2 linked regions of the Zea mays genome follow. The protein of the gene in region 1 binds, or shares a complex with, the protein of each later gene. Links are inferred from orthologs where the notes say so. Each region holds a gene or a part of one and is shown on either strand. Other genes may lie near its edges. The genes, in order: Protein TIC 55, chloroplastic-like; Protein TIC 20-v, chloroplastic.

Evidence for each region.
Region 2: Protein TIC 55, chloroplastic-like (region 1) and Protein TIC 20-v, chloroplastic share a complex: the UniProt entries of both Arabidopsis thaliana proteins name them as parts of the tic complex. The link is inferred for Zea mays from reciprocal best matches to the Arabidopsis thaliana genes TIC55-II and Tic20-V.

Annotation. Positions count from the first base shown.
Region 1 is NC_050100.1:221,689,405-221,698,096, reverse strand, and holds Protein TIC 55, chloroplastic-like, read right to left. Parts: upstream 5,443-8,692; 5' UTR 5,442-5,442; coding exon 5,047-5,441; intron 4,937-5,046; coding exon 4,834-4,936; intron 4,741-4,833; coding exon 3,622-4,740; 3' UTR 3,499-3,621; downstream 1-3,498. Other genes in the region: uncharacterized protein LOC100191588 precursor, read left to right, coding at 878-1,061, 1,163-1,402, 1,841-1,952, 2,043-2,217, 2,504-2,741, 2,833-3,125. UniProt on the Arabidopsis thaliana protein: Involved in protein precursor import into chloroplasts. Part of the redox regulon consisting of TIC32, TIC 55 and TIC62.
Region 2 is NC_050100.1:212,571,219-212,579,303, reverse strand, and holds Protein TIC 20-v, chloroplastic, read right to left. Parts: upstream 4,111-8,085; 5' UTR 3,981-4,110; coding exon 3,336-3,980; 3' UTR 2,944-3,335; downstream 1-2,943. Other genes in the region: uncharacterized protein LOC100279738, read left to right, coding at 1-273, 374-488, 758-827, 1,671-1,763, 1,899-1,937, 2,059-2,236, 2,337-2,472, 2,554-2,680 and 1 more; solute carrier family 35 member F2, read right to left, coding at 5,147-5,152, 5,413-5,478, 6,254-6,336, 6,439-6,493, 6,976-7,929. UniProt on the Arabidopsis thaliana protein: May be involved in protein precursor import into chloroplasts. Not redundant with TIC20-I, TIC20-II or TIC20-IV.

The sequences.
Region 1 (8,692 bases):
AAGAACGTGGCATGATGTATGCAACTTACAATTGTTCCCCATGTCAGCTCTTAGCCTTCTACACTTGTATGTCTATCAAGTTTTAGATCTGTTGTAGAAGCAGTAACACTAATAATTATTCGAAGGATGTGGTATTTAGATGAGTTTTCGGCTAGTCATCACGTAATACTATCTCTGAACCGCCGATCATTTGGTACTAGTAGACATTTCATTTGCATTCCGTTATATCCAGATGGATGAATAATCCGCCTATTCTGCTGGATGCAGCTACTTTTTTTTTGTTCACATCTGCCATAGCATCGTACAGAACCCATATGAAATTTATGTGTATGATTCGAAACATGCCTGCAATTTACAATATTTTGAGATTTTGACTTGTGGCCCGTGGAGTGTTGTTGACTTCAATGTCTTTTTTTATCAGGGTACGAGGACGTCACGAATGCACACGTACACATCTGTACCCTAAAAACTGCTGAGAAAATTCTTAGATTGACTTCAATGTCGACGCAACACGCAACAGGCTTCTGCCTACGCAACTCACAGACACATTAAACCGCACTCGTATTTGGTTTTCCTGGTCGATGTTGCCGTGGGATACTGCAAGCGGACTCGGTCTCCTTATCCGGTCCAACCCAACCAACTCCACCGGCACGCCGTCCGCCCCTTTCCGTCCGCCCGTCTCGTGCGTGCAAATCCACCTCCACCCCCTCCTTCCGGCTTTCCCCATCTTCTCTTTCTCCGTCCCCTCCCAACACGCGTTCCCCAAATTCTCCCACCCTACTAGAAATCCCCATATCCGCGGCGGCGCCGTCCATCGGATTCGATCCTCCTAGCGAGTCGACTCCATCTGATCGGCGGAGCCGGGGCACCAGCCACCATGTGGGCGGCATCGTGCCTGGCGTCGTGCTGCGCGGCGTGCGCGTGCGAGGCGTGCCGGACGGCGGTCGGCAGCATCGGCCGCCGCTCCGCCCGCATCGCCTACTGCGGCCTCTTCGCGCTCTCCCTCTTCGCATCCTGGGCGCTCCGCGAGGTCGCCGCGCCCCTCCTCCAGTCGATCCCATGTGCGCGGCGCTGACCCGAATCCCCCCTACTTTCCCTCGGTTCGATTCGTCGGTTCAGTTCATCGAAACATTCATCGAGACCTCTCTCTCTGTTTCCGCAGGGATTAACCACTTCCACAAGACCCCCGACCGCGAGTGGTTCGAGACCGACGCGGTGCTCAGGGTCAGCCTCGGCAACTTCCTCTTCTTCACCATCCTCGCCGTCATCATGGCCGGGATAAAGGACCAGAAGGACCCCCGTGACAAGATCCACCACGGCGGATGGATGGCCAAGATCTTCTGCTGGGTCATCATCGTCTTCCTCATGTTCTTCGTGCCCAACGGGGTCGTCAGCTTCTATGGTGAGCTAACTCCCTTTCCTTCTATTTGTCAGACCATTTGATTCATATTGCGATCACAAATAGAAACCTTTTTATTTGAACGCATAGTTGATAGATACTTGACATATCATGATGGCACTAATCTTTTTTGAGAAACAAACAACCCCTTTCATGAAGTTTTTTTTGAGTTCCGTGAGGCTCATAAGAAAATTAAGGAGATTTCTGATTCAGAATTTATGCAATTCTCGACTTGTAGACTTACTGGGCGTGTGCAATGGATAAACCCAATTGGTAGTCAGCTGTTTTTACTTGTAGACTTACTACATTTGTCGAGTTCCCTGAACATTTAGTAATTAGTTACTGCTTTGCTGTTGTTGGTCATTCATGTACTTTGTTATGTATCCCGTCATTTGTGTGTCAGCTGTGTTTGGAATTCTTACTACAATTCTACTTCTGCAGAATCTATATCCAAGTTTGGCTCTGGGCTGTTCCTTCTCGTTCAGGTTGTTCTGCTGTTGGATTTTGTGCACGGATGGAATGAGAACTGGGTCGCCAAGGATGAGCAGTTCTGGTTGGTTGCTTGCTGATGCTATTTCCTATACTTGCTTGGGCTCCCATTGGTGTTTTTTTTTGTATTATTTATGCTCTTTTGTCGCTGCAGGTACATGGCTCTGTTGGTTGTCTCGGTTGTCTGTTACATTGCCACGTTCTGTTTCTCGGGTCTCCTATTTCACTGGTTCACTCCATCTGGACATGACTGCGGACTCAACCTGTTTTTCATTGTCTTCACGTTGATTCTTGTTTTTGCGTTTGCTATTGTTGCCCTGCACCCAAAGGTACCATCATGTAGCCTGTTTTTCTCCGTTTTACTGATTTTGCATTTGTTTATATTACTTGATTTGACCAGAAACCGTTGCTTGATAAGTTATACTGGATGGGTTTGGGGTTTGGGGCAGTATTATACTTGCAACTCTAGATTATTGGGTTGGTTTGATTGTTTTAGATTCCATCTTGGCCATCGTATGACCATGCTTTCCAAAAACTATGTCTATACATTTCCCTTGAATGTAACTATCTTTTTTGTGCTAAATAATGCTGAACTTTGAAGTTTCTGATTTTCAGATCAATGGAAGCTTGTTGCCTGCATCAGTTATTGGTATGTACTGTACATATCTGTGCTACAGTGGACTCTCCAGTGAGCCAAGGGATTACGAATGCAATGGGCTTCACAATCACTCAAAAGCTGTGTCAACTGGTAGCCTTACATTGGGACTCCTTACCACGGTCCTCTCTGTGGTCTATTCTGCTGTCCGCGCTGGCTCCTCTGCAACTGTGCTCTCGCCACCAGACTCACCACGTGGTTAGATTGCGTTCTGTGGCTAATGAGCTAGTTTTGCAAATATTGGGTTTGCATCGTTAATTATGATACCTTTTTCCCTTTTACCTTCCAGGGACCGACAAGCCATTGCTTCCCTTCAGCAAGGCAGACGAACAAGAAGATAAGAAGGATGTGCCGAGGCCGGTGACATACTCCTACTCTTTCTTTCACCTCATCTTCTCCCTGGCCAGCATGTACTCGGCAATGCTCTTGACTGGCTGGTCAACTTCGGTTGGTGAGAGCGGAAAGCTTGTGGATGTTGGGTGGCCATCTGTCTGGGTCAGGATTGCAACCCAGTGGGCGACGGCAGGTCTGTTCATATGGTCGCTTGTTGCACCCGTCCTCTTTCCCGACAGGGAATTCTAAGTTCAACCACGGTAAGCCTGGAGCATCAAACGTGTCTACTGTGGTAGCTAATATATCCTATCAAGTATGTTGCCTTTAAAACATGCTCCGAGTCGGTGTTTGCCCACTGTTATCAAGTTTGTCTACTTAATAACATGTGACTTTAGGCATTGTGCCACTATCTTAACAGTGAACGTGTGCTGCTTGTATTGTGTATATACTGGAGAATTTTAAGAATGCTTCGTGCGAGCGTGTTGTGTATCGATTGCTTGGTGGCTGTGTCTGCGGACTTAAATCTTTTGCTATGTTGATTATCTTCTAATTCTGAGTTTGTGCTGCAGTAGTAAAAAAACTAACCGGTAAGGTAACCAACCTAATCAGTTGCTGCTGACATGCAAAACGTTACTGCAAATATACAAAATACAACAGCCGCAGGCCAGCAGCTACGGTGATACAAATGTACAGAACGTTCCCCGCCGGCCATTACCTAAATATACAGTGGCCAGTACCACATTAATTACAGTCTCCTGTGTGTCCTGATGAAGTTGGTGGTGATCAAAGAAAGCACCGCGTCACACGCATAGGATGCGGCGGCTAGCACGGCCGACGCCGCCACCAAGACGGCCTTCCACTGTCTCGTCGCCGCCAGGATGGCGGCCGATAGGGCCGCCGCCGCGAGGGCCGCGAACACGGTCTTCAACGAGGTGTACTTTTTGACGGTTGCCCTGCAACCCTTGCAGTGCACGACGTGGCGGAAGTACCTGTTGGTCGGGTTGGGCGCGTGCACCATGCCGACGCCGCCCTTGGCCGGGAACGAGGCCGAGATCCCCGCGACGGCCCCTGCGGGCGCCTGCTCCACGACGGCCGGCACGGGCGGCGGCGACAGGGTGCTGTGGCCGAAGTAGTAGGGCATGCCGTGGCCCGCCCTGTCCATCCACTTCCTGTACTCGGCGACCCAGGTGTCGGAGGAGCGGAGGTTGAGGTAGAGCTCCCTGGTGGGCAGCTTCTCCCGGAGCAGCACCTCGTTCTGCGACGACAGGAACCCCATGTCCTGCTCGAACACCTTGCACGCGTTCTGGTGGAAGTACCAGGACGGGAGCACCTTGGCGAGCGGCGACCTGAGGGTGGAGCCGAAGCGCACGAGGAGCATGGACTTGCCCTGCCCGGCGGGGCGGCAGAGGAAGTGCGCGGAGAAGCACTGCTCCCTGCCGTCCTTGTCGGCGAACTCTAGCGTGTTGGTGAGCACGCAGGGGGCCTCGAAGCGCAGAAGGTTGCGGAGGTGCGGCGTGCCGGTGCGGCCCCAGTAGCCCGCGAAGCCGCGGGGCGTGCGCTCGGTGACGTCGAAGAAGAGCGGCTGCGCGTCCTCGCGCTTGGCCGTCCAGTCGGTGCGGTCGTGGGAGATGGGCACGTGCGCGGGGTCCATGAGGTTCTCCAGCAGGATGGAGTGGTCGTAGGGGAGCTCGTGCACCGTCGACAGGTCCGTGAACCCCGCCCGCGCGTACGGCTCGAACCACGGCAGCTTCCCTTCGTCGGGAGGGTTGGCGTCCGACATCCACACCCACACCACGCCCTGCGAGTCGCGCACCTCGTAGTTGCGCGCGCACGCGCTGCGCGGGATCTTGGCGCCCTCGGGCAGCTGCAGTGCAGGCACGGACCCATCACATCACCCATCCATGCTCTCGCCGCGTAGGGTAGGGGCGTCAGTAAGAAAGGTGGGAGAGAGAGAGACCTGTGGTATCTTGACGCACTTGCCGTCGCCGTCGAACTGCCAGCCATGGTAGAGGCACTCCAGCTTGCCGTCCACGATCTGCCCTTCCGATAGCTTCGCTAACCTGATCGATCGGTAAGCATTTTGGGAGCAATTAATCGTGTTTCAGCTGCTGGTTCTCGACCAAACCAATCGTTGCACGCACACAAGAGTGGACCGGCCGGAGGATCTCACCTGTGAGGGCACCGGTCCTCGTGGCAGCGGAGCACGCCGTGGGCGTCGCGCCAGAGCACGAGCTGGCGGTCGAAGACGGTGAGCGGGAGCGCCGCGTCGTCGGGCACCTCCTTGGCCAGGTACAGCGGGTACCACTCCTCCCTCCAGTCGTAGCGCCCCGCCGCCGCGTCCGGGGCCTCCTCCCCCTCCCCCTCCCCCTCCCCCTCCTTGGGCAGCAGCACCCCGGCTTCCTCCACCACCGCCGCCCGGCACCTCCTTCTGCCCCCACCTCCCTCCCACCGTGCCGCCGCCGCAGCCGCGGGGCTCTTAGGACGTCGTCGAGCCACTGGAACAGCGGCAGCGGAGACGCGGAGGAGAGATGCCAGTGGCGCTGGTGCGGTAGAGGGCGTTGTCATGTTCGGTCCCACGACGTTTGGTTGGCCGAGAGCGCTCGATCTCTGCGGCCTCACCGGATAAAAACCTTACGAGTCACCTACGACTACGAGCGCAAGTGTGCAACGCACACGGCAGATGGCGGCTCCAGCTTTCTGCCACCTAGTCTACTACTATAGCGTCCCGGTTCCAGACTCCCACACTTGCCGTGATCTCTCGTGTGTCACTCTCGTCCAAGTGTGACCGATTGACGGACTAGTATATCGCGAGATTTTTTTGCGTGTGCATGAACTAGCTTACACTGGTCAGCTATAATAATATCTCGTTTGGATCTATCCAAATTGTTATTTATTTGCGTAAAATTAGCTTGTCAATTTAAACGTACAAGACTCTCGAGAGCAAGACTCTGTAAATGCTCCTGTACGCTAAATTTAACGTGCGCAATCTGCTTTTCGTTCTCAAGGTCCGCTAAAGGACCCGCTAAAGTAGCGGACCACTAACGCGCACAACAGATGTAGAGTGTTCCGTTGTGTCGGCTATGTGCACCGTCTTGTGTAGAGAGACTACAGGTCGGCTGTGCACGCCGCGACAAAGTAGCACATCAGCCAGCACCTCCCAACTTGCATCCACGGTAGAAGAGGACGACGAGGCGCACGGCGACCGGATGTGCAACAAACACGACCTTGGATGACGTAGGCGCATAGGACCTGTAACTCGATCTTTCTCTCTTCGCACTCCTCCCTTGTTTGTTGCTATGCTTCTCCCCCACCTCGGCGCAGCACAAGTCCATCCTCTGTGTTGCCGGAGATGAGATAGGTGATCCTGGACACGGCGCTCCGTGTGGAGTGCTTCTCAACCCGCATCTAGGGGCATGGGAGATACTGGGTGGATGGATGGAGTACAACGGTGGAGGTGGGGTGTCGGAGAAGAAAGACAATGTTGCAGAGAATGAAATTTAGAGGATGTTGTTGGAGATGATAAAGATATAGAGGATGAAATTTTCTAGAGTGTGTTCTAAAGGATAGAGAATATTCTTTTAGATGGCAAAAATTAGAGCACGTTGTTGGAGGTCATACATAGAGGTGAACTAGGGACCACTAGCCTAGAACTCATGAGAACCGAATAGTAAGGGAGAGCTAGAAGATCATGACGCTTAGTTGATATCTGAGCTTGTATTCTTCTTCACCTATGTGTTCGTCAAACCATCGTACTTAAAGAGGACATATGGTATCATCTTGTGGCCTAGCCCTTTATAAAATGACTATGTGCTACACCTAGGATCAATGCGCCTATAGATTATGCTCCTTGCTCTGTCCATAAACTTTCTTCGTGTCTTTTGGTTGCTTATGGTACTGTAATGTTGTACCATGACGACACTTAGTGCACCAGGTATTGGGTGCTTGCCATCATTGAACTATGTAGTAGTTCTCTAACAGATAATAAGTCTTCTTTTCTCAAGTGTATTACGAGAAATTTGGGCCCACCAGCAAGCCTCATAGGTCTATGGTTGACTTGGGGACCTCTATTAGCGCATGGGGAAGGTCACACTCTAGATGAAGATGCCTTCTAAGGATCTCGATAAAAGTAATCGAGAGCCTGACTAACTCCAGACATGTGCCCCTAGAGACCCACCCTAATGGACCTCATCTTGAGCCCCTGAACCCGTGAGGTTGTCCTAGCCACTCCCGTCCATCATAATTGGCATGACCAGGGCCCCTAAGGCCTCAGGATCTTTCTATACTTTGAGGCATTCCCAAGCTTCTAGAGTTCTCTCGCTCACCTAGGCCCCATAGAGGCCTCCCTAAATATTTCATGACCTCGACCTTAGAGTTATGACTAATAGCCAGGTCCTAGGGTCCTTCATATGAAAAATAATGCTCCGACTCAGTTGTATGGGAGCACCTACAGAACAAAGAATATGGCAGCCTATCCTTAGAGTAGGGAAGTCCTCAAAGGTATAACACTCGTACTATGTTAAAGTCTACTCCAAACGACTTGTGTTACTAATGGTTTGGAAAGGTATCTCGTTCACCACATTAAATGTGTTGGTTGATATTGTAGTAAAGTATGCGCACTATTCCCACGAGATAGACACTAGACATACTCAAGACCACTATTCGGTACATGACGTAGACATCGGGCATACTTAAGACCACTATTTGATATATGCCATCATTCTTGTAGACATGTCTCCATATGTTAGTGTACCAGCAAGCATTAAAAAATATAGACTGCTACATCTGTTACCAACTACATCATACCCAACAACATGGACTCTGATACCCATCGCTATGACAAGTCATAACTACCTCTATGATACGACTTATCTATAACCGCAATATGACATCCTCAGCATCGTGGCACGATCAAGGCATGCAACCATTTAGTACTCCATGACTACGATGAGATAATTGTTGTTGACCTGTATTGAACTAGGTCATAACCCAGTAGGCATATAAATGGAGGAGTATAGAAACATGGAAGGGAGATGGAATGATCCGGTTGATTCATTCGGGTTCAATTCAGTTAGAACAGCTATGACTCATTCAAAGGTGCTAGAGGGCACGCATAGAGACATAGAGGTAAACTAGAGACCATTAGCCTAGAATTCTCACCAAAACCAATGAGAAGAGTTAAGAGGTTATGAGACTTATTTGATATCTAATTTTGTAATCTTATTCACCTCTATGTTCATTGAGCTACTAAAGTTAAAGAGAGCGTTCACATTACGTATCTTGCGACCTGAACCTTTATACAATGTCAATGTGCTACTAATCAGGATGCACCTAAAATCGGTGTGGCTCTACCCTACGCCCCTCGCTCTGCCCATAATTTTTATCTGTGGTGTCGTACGACGTCTACAACTCACTAGGTACATAGTTGTTGTTATATACCTAGATATACGATATACTGAGCTACAAAATAGAAATATATGTATCGTAAAAAGCCAAACGACCAATAAAATAAGCAAAGAAAAGCCAAAGGGACCTATAAATTTGGACAAAGCGAGTAGTGCACTAGTGTTCCCTCTCTATATCGAATCAACTAATGTATTGCGAAAAATACTTTTATTATTCCACTTATCTTTATATATCCATGTGTCCTACCATTAGCGAGTTAAACAGAGAGTATTAGTCAAGAACATCAATGGCACATCTAGATATTGTATCCTAAAACACTAAGGGGCTGGTTTGGTGACCAGAGAAACAAAAAGAATCTATAGGGGCTCATGGATCCCCTTAATTTCACTGATCACTAAATCAGTTCTAAATTA
Region 2 (8,085 bases), about 9.1 Mb from region 1:
TCGACATGGCACCGTCGTCGGGCTTGGAGTCGGACTCCGAGGAGCACGTCTTGCCGGGCGGCGTCGGGACGTTCAGCATCAGGCAGGTGGCATCTGCGACTCGATCGAGGGGAGAAGCCGCCGGCCATGGCGTCGTCAGCGGCGCCTTTCCACCTGCCGTTCATGTGTCCAGAACGGAGGAGGGCCCGCCGCATGGAGCAGAATCGGGAGCCAGGGCTCACAGCGGCCCGCTCGCGATGTGGCAAGATTCTGGCGTCGACCAAAGATCCAGAGGTGAAAATTTATATATACATACGCTGTCGTTTTTTCTTCTCTCGGGTCGGTTCCAGAATTCAGGACCCTCTTTTATTACACTGCCCTGCTGCATGTTCAGGCGCGAGAGGAGGGGAGGGGAGAAGCAGCGGCAGCAGCGCCGATCAGGGGCCCAGCACACCGAGATCCAAGCATTCCGCTACCGAGCAGCGGAGACGGACAAAGATAAACGACAGGCAATGCTCGTTGAGTCCAATTTCAATTTTCATCAATTGCATCTAGCAGATCAGAAACTAAAAAAAAAGATTTACCCAGAACGTAGGGAAGCTGAGTGAGCCAGCTGTCTGCTCAACATGTTGGAATTACATCACGGCATGAACTTGTCATCAACACGCAAATCTTGAATTCTACTTCTGTTGCCGAACAGCAGCAGATAGATACATGAGATGCGATATATATGGGAGATGCATTTTAACGAGTATGTGTGTATATGCCTCTGGTTTAGGTTGGAAATACTTCGGGAACTCCTGCCGCACGGTGACCAGAAGAGGGACAAGGCATCTTTCCTTCTTGAGGTAAATAGATCGCCAACCTTTCTACAACAGCCAGCCGCCGGTAACCAGAGATCTCATAATGCTGCACTTAGAGCATCTCCAACAAGGTCTAAAATAAAGCTCTAAAAGTTAAAAATATAATCATATTTAAAATGTTTAGGACCTCAATAAAACATTTTACTCCAACAGTTAGGCTTTAAATAATGCTATTTAGAAAATAAATCACGTTATTAGAAAATAAATAGTTGTAGATTAAGAGGAAAGAAGGTTAGGGTTCTAACATATGGGGTACTATATTTAGGGTCCGAGAGACCGAACTCTATAATCGTTTGATGATTTTTTATAAAATAGGACTAAATGTTTTATGATTTTTTTTTTGCGAAAGAGCCTCTAGCTGAGTTGGTTAGGTGGTCTGAGTAGCACTCCTCAGGTCCTAGGTTCGACTCCCCGTGGGAGCGAATTTTAGGCTGTGGTTAAAAAAATCCACTCGTCTGTCCCACGACAAAGCACAGGTCTAAGGCTCAGCCCCGGTCGTGGTCGTTCTCACATGGGCTTCGATGCCGCAGGTCAAGTTTTTTTTGTTTTATGATTTTTTGAGCCCTATATTTTAAAATACAATTTCTTATTTAGGGCTCCTCTTGAGATGCTCTTATAACATTGAAATGCCCCCTTTGGTCCCAGTTTTGGGTGCAATATCCTCCATGTTGCTTGTTCAATGATACGCAAACACATAACACGAACCAGAACGAAAATATAATACTAAAAAATATTTCAATGTAACATGATCTCAGCAACTGGGGAGACCGGAATCCTGATCAGCACGTTACAGCAAGTATTTTAGCATGTGGAACATTTTGCTCGCAGGTTATTGAATACATAAGGTTCTTGCAAGAGAAGGTCCAAAAGTACGAGTCAGCCCAACCAGAAAAGAATCACGAGGACTCCTCCATGCCATGGGTACTAACATAGCCACGTTATCACGTTCATCGCAGTACTGCACAATAATCATGCACATATTTTACTATATAACACAAAAAAAAGGGCTGCATTTGGATTTTAACTCACTTGTCCACTATTTTTTCCCCTTGCTAGGCAAAAGTTTACTACAGATCATGCTGGAAAAACACAGAGGTAATTCCACACGCGCGTGCACACACACATACCAAAGAAAAAAGGAATGCCACATGGAAGCATGGAGCCCATGATATATCAATGATAACAAATTTCTTTGTTCTTTTTCATGGTCTCGCAGAATATCATCCAAGGAGGAGGATTAGCACCTTCCACGAAAGATGAGAACAAAGAACAGTATGATTCCAAGCAAACTACGGTGGCATCGTCTGCTCTCTTTGACACACAAAGTGCTAGAGAAACTAGTGCAAACGATATTTCCTCCCAAAAGGCAACAAGCAAAGCAAAATGCAGGGCAGGTAAGTTCCCAATTTCCTTCTTTCGTTGCATTACCACCTTTCAATTGCTAAGATCATGGCAAGAAATTGATTTACTAAGGCTAATAGCTTTAAAATGCAGACAACAGCGTACCTGGCAAACAGCCACCATGGTTGAGCATGTCAACCTCTGATGCAGACAACAAAACACTGAGCAAGAACGAGAAACAAACTCTCCAAGAGGATACTCAAAGTCTTTCTGATGCTTACTCTCAAGGGTTTGTTCCGAAACTACTGTTGTTTATGATGGTAATTTTGCTATATCTGCAACTAACAAGAGAAAACATTATTTACATCAGGCTTCTAAATAGATTGACACAAGCTCTAAAAAGGTCGGGAGTAGACCCATCTCAAGCTAGTATATCTGTAGAGATCAGTATGGACAGAAGAGCAACAGAACCTAATAATATACATGACAATTTGAAGGTAATAACAGCACATGAAAGTATATCAGCACGTTAATGCTTGCAAAGTTGCTAGACTTATGTCATGGCTTATTCACAGAATCAGCCATTTCTTTACCACTTCTTTTTAACCTTACCTGACAGGATCATGAATGTGAAGATATTATACATGTGACCAAGAAGCTTCGGGGCGAGAGAAGCAAGATCTCCAGCTCAAACTGAAATTCAAACTGTGGCGACAAGCCGACAACAGACCAGGACTTTGTCGACGAAATTGACAATTGATGGAATGCTCTTATTTATATTGAAATCACAATTACTGACCTAAGCCTCCATTCAGGTACAAAGGAAGCTGCTCAGGGGAGGGTAGTCATAAAGCTCCCCAATTCAGACATTCCTCCTCATTTGTAAATGCAATTCAGATTGTAAAACAGTGTACATGTACTGCTCTCTCAAAATTTGTCAATTCAACAAATATGGTAGTATTGCAACGTTTTTGTATCAACCTTCCACAGTACATGCATTCAATCGGCAACTAGACCTATATAAACAGCAAGGCAATTGTAAATTATACTAAGCTTGTGATTTGCTGCAAGCGCCAACGAACCATTGGGATGTTTTCTGCATATCATCAGATTCCCTTTCCATCAACATGGTCCGCAGGAAACGAATTGTAGTCACATCACCTGGCGCTCCGCTGCATCTGCGACAATGGGCAGACGTGGTGTCTTCCCGAGCAGGCAGGCGCCACCGCCGTACACCAAGGAGACGAGCAGGAAGAGGAAGACCGTGCTCTCCATGCTCTGGAAGATCTCGAACCCAACCCCACCGGAGGGCGCGAACGACTGCGCGAGCAGGTCGGGAAAGATGAGCAGCACGTCGAGCACGACGGCCTGCATCGCGTTGAAGCGGACGAAGCGGGAGAACGCCTGCTGGTTCCGCACAACGGCGAAGTAGAGCGTGAGGAAGAGGAGGAAGGGCGTGAGCGGCGATGAGTGGAAGAGCCGAGCCGCGGGGGCCAGCGGGCGGAGCAGCGCGCCGAAGAAGGGGAACTGCGTGAGAAGGAAGCGCCCGTGGTGCGCGCCGTCGAGGAACGGGTATAGGTAGGCGACCGCGGCCACGAGGCGGTCGGGCGCCTCCACGGCCCCGCTGTTGTCGTTTTTGTTGGAGGCGCGCGGCGCGGGGGCCAGGAGCCGACGAGGGGTCGCGTTGTTGGGGGCGGCGAGGAGGACCCGCCGGTGCGGGATGCTGAGGAGGCGGGATGTGCCGTCGCGGTGGAGCAGGCGCGGGGGCGAGAGGAGAAGCGAAACGGCGGATGCCATGTGATCCTCTGCTCGGTGCGGTCGAGGAGTGGAGATTTTTTGGGTGAGTGGCCTTGTGGGGGGCGGCCAAAGCGAGGCGTTTGGGTGAGGGGTTGAGGGCAAGGCAGTGGCGCCGCGCGGCTGCTGGCTGCTTGCCCCCTCCGCGCGGGTGGGAGCCTGGGAGCGGAGATTTTTGTGGAGCTCCGGGGGATGTGGGTAGCCGAGTGGGAGACGAGGAGATTGGTTGGTGGTGCCTGCTTCTGCCTGCCTGCCTGCTTGGTGCAGTGCCAGTGCGGGCCGTGCTGCTGCGGCGTCGCGGGGGAGGAAGGACGGGCGCGTGGGCGACGCGCGGTGAGCCTCACGTGGGCCGCCATGCCGGCCGGCATGCGCTCGCGCCTTGCAGCGTGGCCCGCTGTGGCCCGCCACGGAAAAAATTGGGATTCATCGTTTTGAGAGGATTCGTCTGAATATCATTATAAAACATGTCATCCACGTTATGATATCATTTGATCGTTTAATAAATCGGAAAAGAAATATATATATTATATATATAGCGACATTGAGGGTCAATTTTATAGGGAGACGAACATCAGCGACCAAAGTGAATGCACGAACAACAACAGAGGCAAATCATCCCTCAATGTCTATAATATATTTATTATTTTCATTTTTTAAACAATCAAATGATATTATAGCATATGCGGCATGTTTCATAATAGCAAAGTAGTGATGCCTCTCAAAACGATTTCCACTCCGGGAGAGCTGACCCGGGCGGAATAACCACTCCTACATTTTCCTCATAAAAAAGGACACTCAGTCTATTTGGTTCACGGCTAACTATGTCACAATTTATTTAATATTAATCGTTTGAATTGAAGAACTAAGCTTAGACATAAAAAATAGATAAAACGGTTAACTATGTCATAATTTGTTTAATGTTAATTATTTGAATCGAAGAACTAAGCTTAGACATAAAAAATAGATAAAATATGGTAAGTTGGACAGCAAATCAAACCGCCGTCAAACTTCCACCCTATTTCTTTGCATAACTGCGGCGTCAAAATACTCAGCAAGATACTCACCACCAGGTTACAACGACAGATTGACAGGATCATCGACACTGACCAAATCGGGTTCATTCGAGGCAGATCGATCACAGAGAGCTTCATCTACACTTTTGAACTTGTTCAGACCTGCCACAAAAGGAAAACACCACACCAGTCCTAGTGATCAAATTATACTTTGCCAAGGCTTCGACACCGTGAATTGGGAAGCTCTCTGAAGGACCATGGCAGAGAGAGGCTTCCCTGACCGATGGAGATCCTGGATCGCCGAGATCCTCTCCACCTCAAGCTCTGGAAATCTCCTCCACGGTTGCCTACTTGCCTCGACCCATGGTTCCCATGCAAGAAAGGCCTGAGGCAGAGCGACCCGATCTCACCACTCACCTTACCAGTTCCTGCCAGTGGAAGATGTCCTTCAGGTTCTCATCAAGAAAAACGGGGAAGTCCGCCACCCACTGTCAAATGACAAAACCGGGGGCCGGTAATCCAATATGCAAATATGATACACTCATTGCCACATATGCTTCCCTCTCTAGTGTCACCTAGCTCCGGATGATCCTTGACACTTTTGCCCAAGCAACAGGTCTTTGCATCAACTACGATGAGAGCACCCTTGTTCCCATTCATGTTGACCCACAACATCAAGCCGGTCAATTCACCTCGATCCTGCAGTGCGGTGCCAAGTTGGAAGGCTTCCCCCAAACTTACTTTGGCCTCCCTCTGTCAAGAGCAAACTAGGATAGCATGCAGAAACTCCTCCCGCGTGATCACCACTATGAGAGAGCATCGGGAATGGTAGGACAACTTGCTTCCGCCTTGATGATTAGATGGATAGTGGTCCGATCACAGACAGCTTCCCCTCCCTTGCAAGCCATGCAACGAATATGGAAACCACTGTCAGGCAAGTGCTGCTTGATGGGCTTGGATCAGCACCTCAAACCACGCCTGAGCACAACCTCAAAGACAGGAGCTTGCCACCCTCCAGAACACCCTCCACGACATCTCTCTCACACAACAAAATGATAAAAGACTAAGCCCACTGATTGACATAGAAGGGATCCTAAAAACCGGTATGCTCTACAAGCTGATCAATCAATGACTACCTCCAACTTTGATAATCCAGACTTCGTGTGAAGCTCTTTCTCTCCTAAAGTTTAAGTTCTTTGTGTGGATCCTCATATAAGGAAAGGTTAACCACAAAAAGAACCTTGTCAAGAAAGGGATGATTACCAGCGTCGTGTGTGACCTTGGCTCTGTCAGGCAGATGAAGATTACGACCACATTATCTTCAAGTGTCTGATTGCTTCCTCCTTCTGGCACAACATATATAGGAGTGCACAACATCGACAACCTAACGACGTCCAAGCCATGGGAAGTCATCCCCCTCCCCCCGATCACCAATCACACTAGAATACCTTCATACACCTTTATTGTTGGATGCTCTGGAAAAACCGGCATCCCCTTCCTGTCCTAGCAAGCATGTGCGTGAAGAAGGAGACACAGACATAGGGGATGACATCTGGAACCTATATTAGGGGCAATAATGACAATTTTTTTGAGCTAAGGGTATCCTTCTAGCCAAACATCTCCTCCGCTCCACGTGAAGGTTGCTCCAGCTTAAGTTGTCAAGTGGAGCAGAAATTTGTGGAAAAGCTAGAGCTCATAGCGAAATCTAGATGGTAGAGTTGTCACTACGGATGTCACCCCAGCGACGCGGGGACCTCGATATTCATCACTGCTGACGGTGTCCTTGTTAGCACACCGATCACAGGCGGATTGGAGAAGAGAAAGAGGTAGGCGAGAGAGATAGCTTGGGTTGGGAATGAGACAACAGAGAGCTCCGTTGTATTCAGTTTCTCCGTAATTTCATCCCCCTGCCCAAAGCAGCTATCGTACTTATACTACGACATATGTTCCACGGACCAGTGACTCAGGGACGCAGCCCCACATACCAGAGACTCATTCATCTTTCCTAACATTCCCCTCTTCTTAAAATTCGGCTTGCCCTCAAGCCGATGTGTAGCATTACTTCCACCAGGATCCCAGGAAAATTGCAAGCACTGACCAAAAGTAACAGGAACTTGTGCTGTGTTGTTTGCCGCTGCAGCCTCCTCATCCATGGCATGTGTAACTCGTGCTGTCTCTCTAGTATTCTGCCTTGAGCCCCTGTATGAGTATATCACAAAGCCAGTTGCTGTGCCAACAAAAGAAATGAAGTACATCACATCAACCTTCTCTTGGTAAGCGATTGTACGCATTAGAACAGCCCACATATCAGCAGTCCAGTGAGTCGATCTGAGCTCTTTTTGTTTGAATATGCTTATCTGTATACCATTTATAATTGCTCTAAAAACACCTAGCATTGCCATCACCTCAACTCTGGTGCTTTCGTGGACAAAGTACTCCTTGGTAACCCTGCTGAAGGCATGAAGCATGGAGCCTCCAATGACAAGCAAATCACCTGTTAGAAAGTTGAGTCCTTTTTCTCGACCGAAAGCATGTACATCCGAAAATAAGACCAAAATTAGCCTAGCCACGCAAACTCCCACACCCAATAAATTCCTCAGCCCATACTTTGCCTTCAGGAAGATCCAACTGCACACAATGACACATGGAACCGACCAGCAATTCCGCAGCATCACACTGGTTAAGGACGTGTACTGATAAGCCGACACAACGATGTAATGAACTTCCACATCAATGATGTCAAGAAGGATGTAATTCAGCAATGATTGTTTGTAGCTGTGCACTTCATTGGATTCAGACGAAAGGAGATTGATGAACCATACGCAACATTCTACAAGAAGATCCTGGGCATCTTGTGCCACTCGTACAACAGGACGCATTTGTGTAAATTGTGCCTGTAGCTTTGCCTTCCTGTCACCTATACCCGAACAACAAATCATTGCCAGAAGGATCTCCTGCTAAGTTGCAAAAGGCAGTGTCAGGATTGTGTTTGCCAGTCCGTCCTCAACTCCACTGACAGGTACATCCAGCTTAGCCAATAATATAGGTGGAGGCCATGGTTGCCTTGACAACATCCAATTCAAGTAATCAGTGAA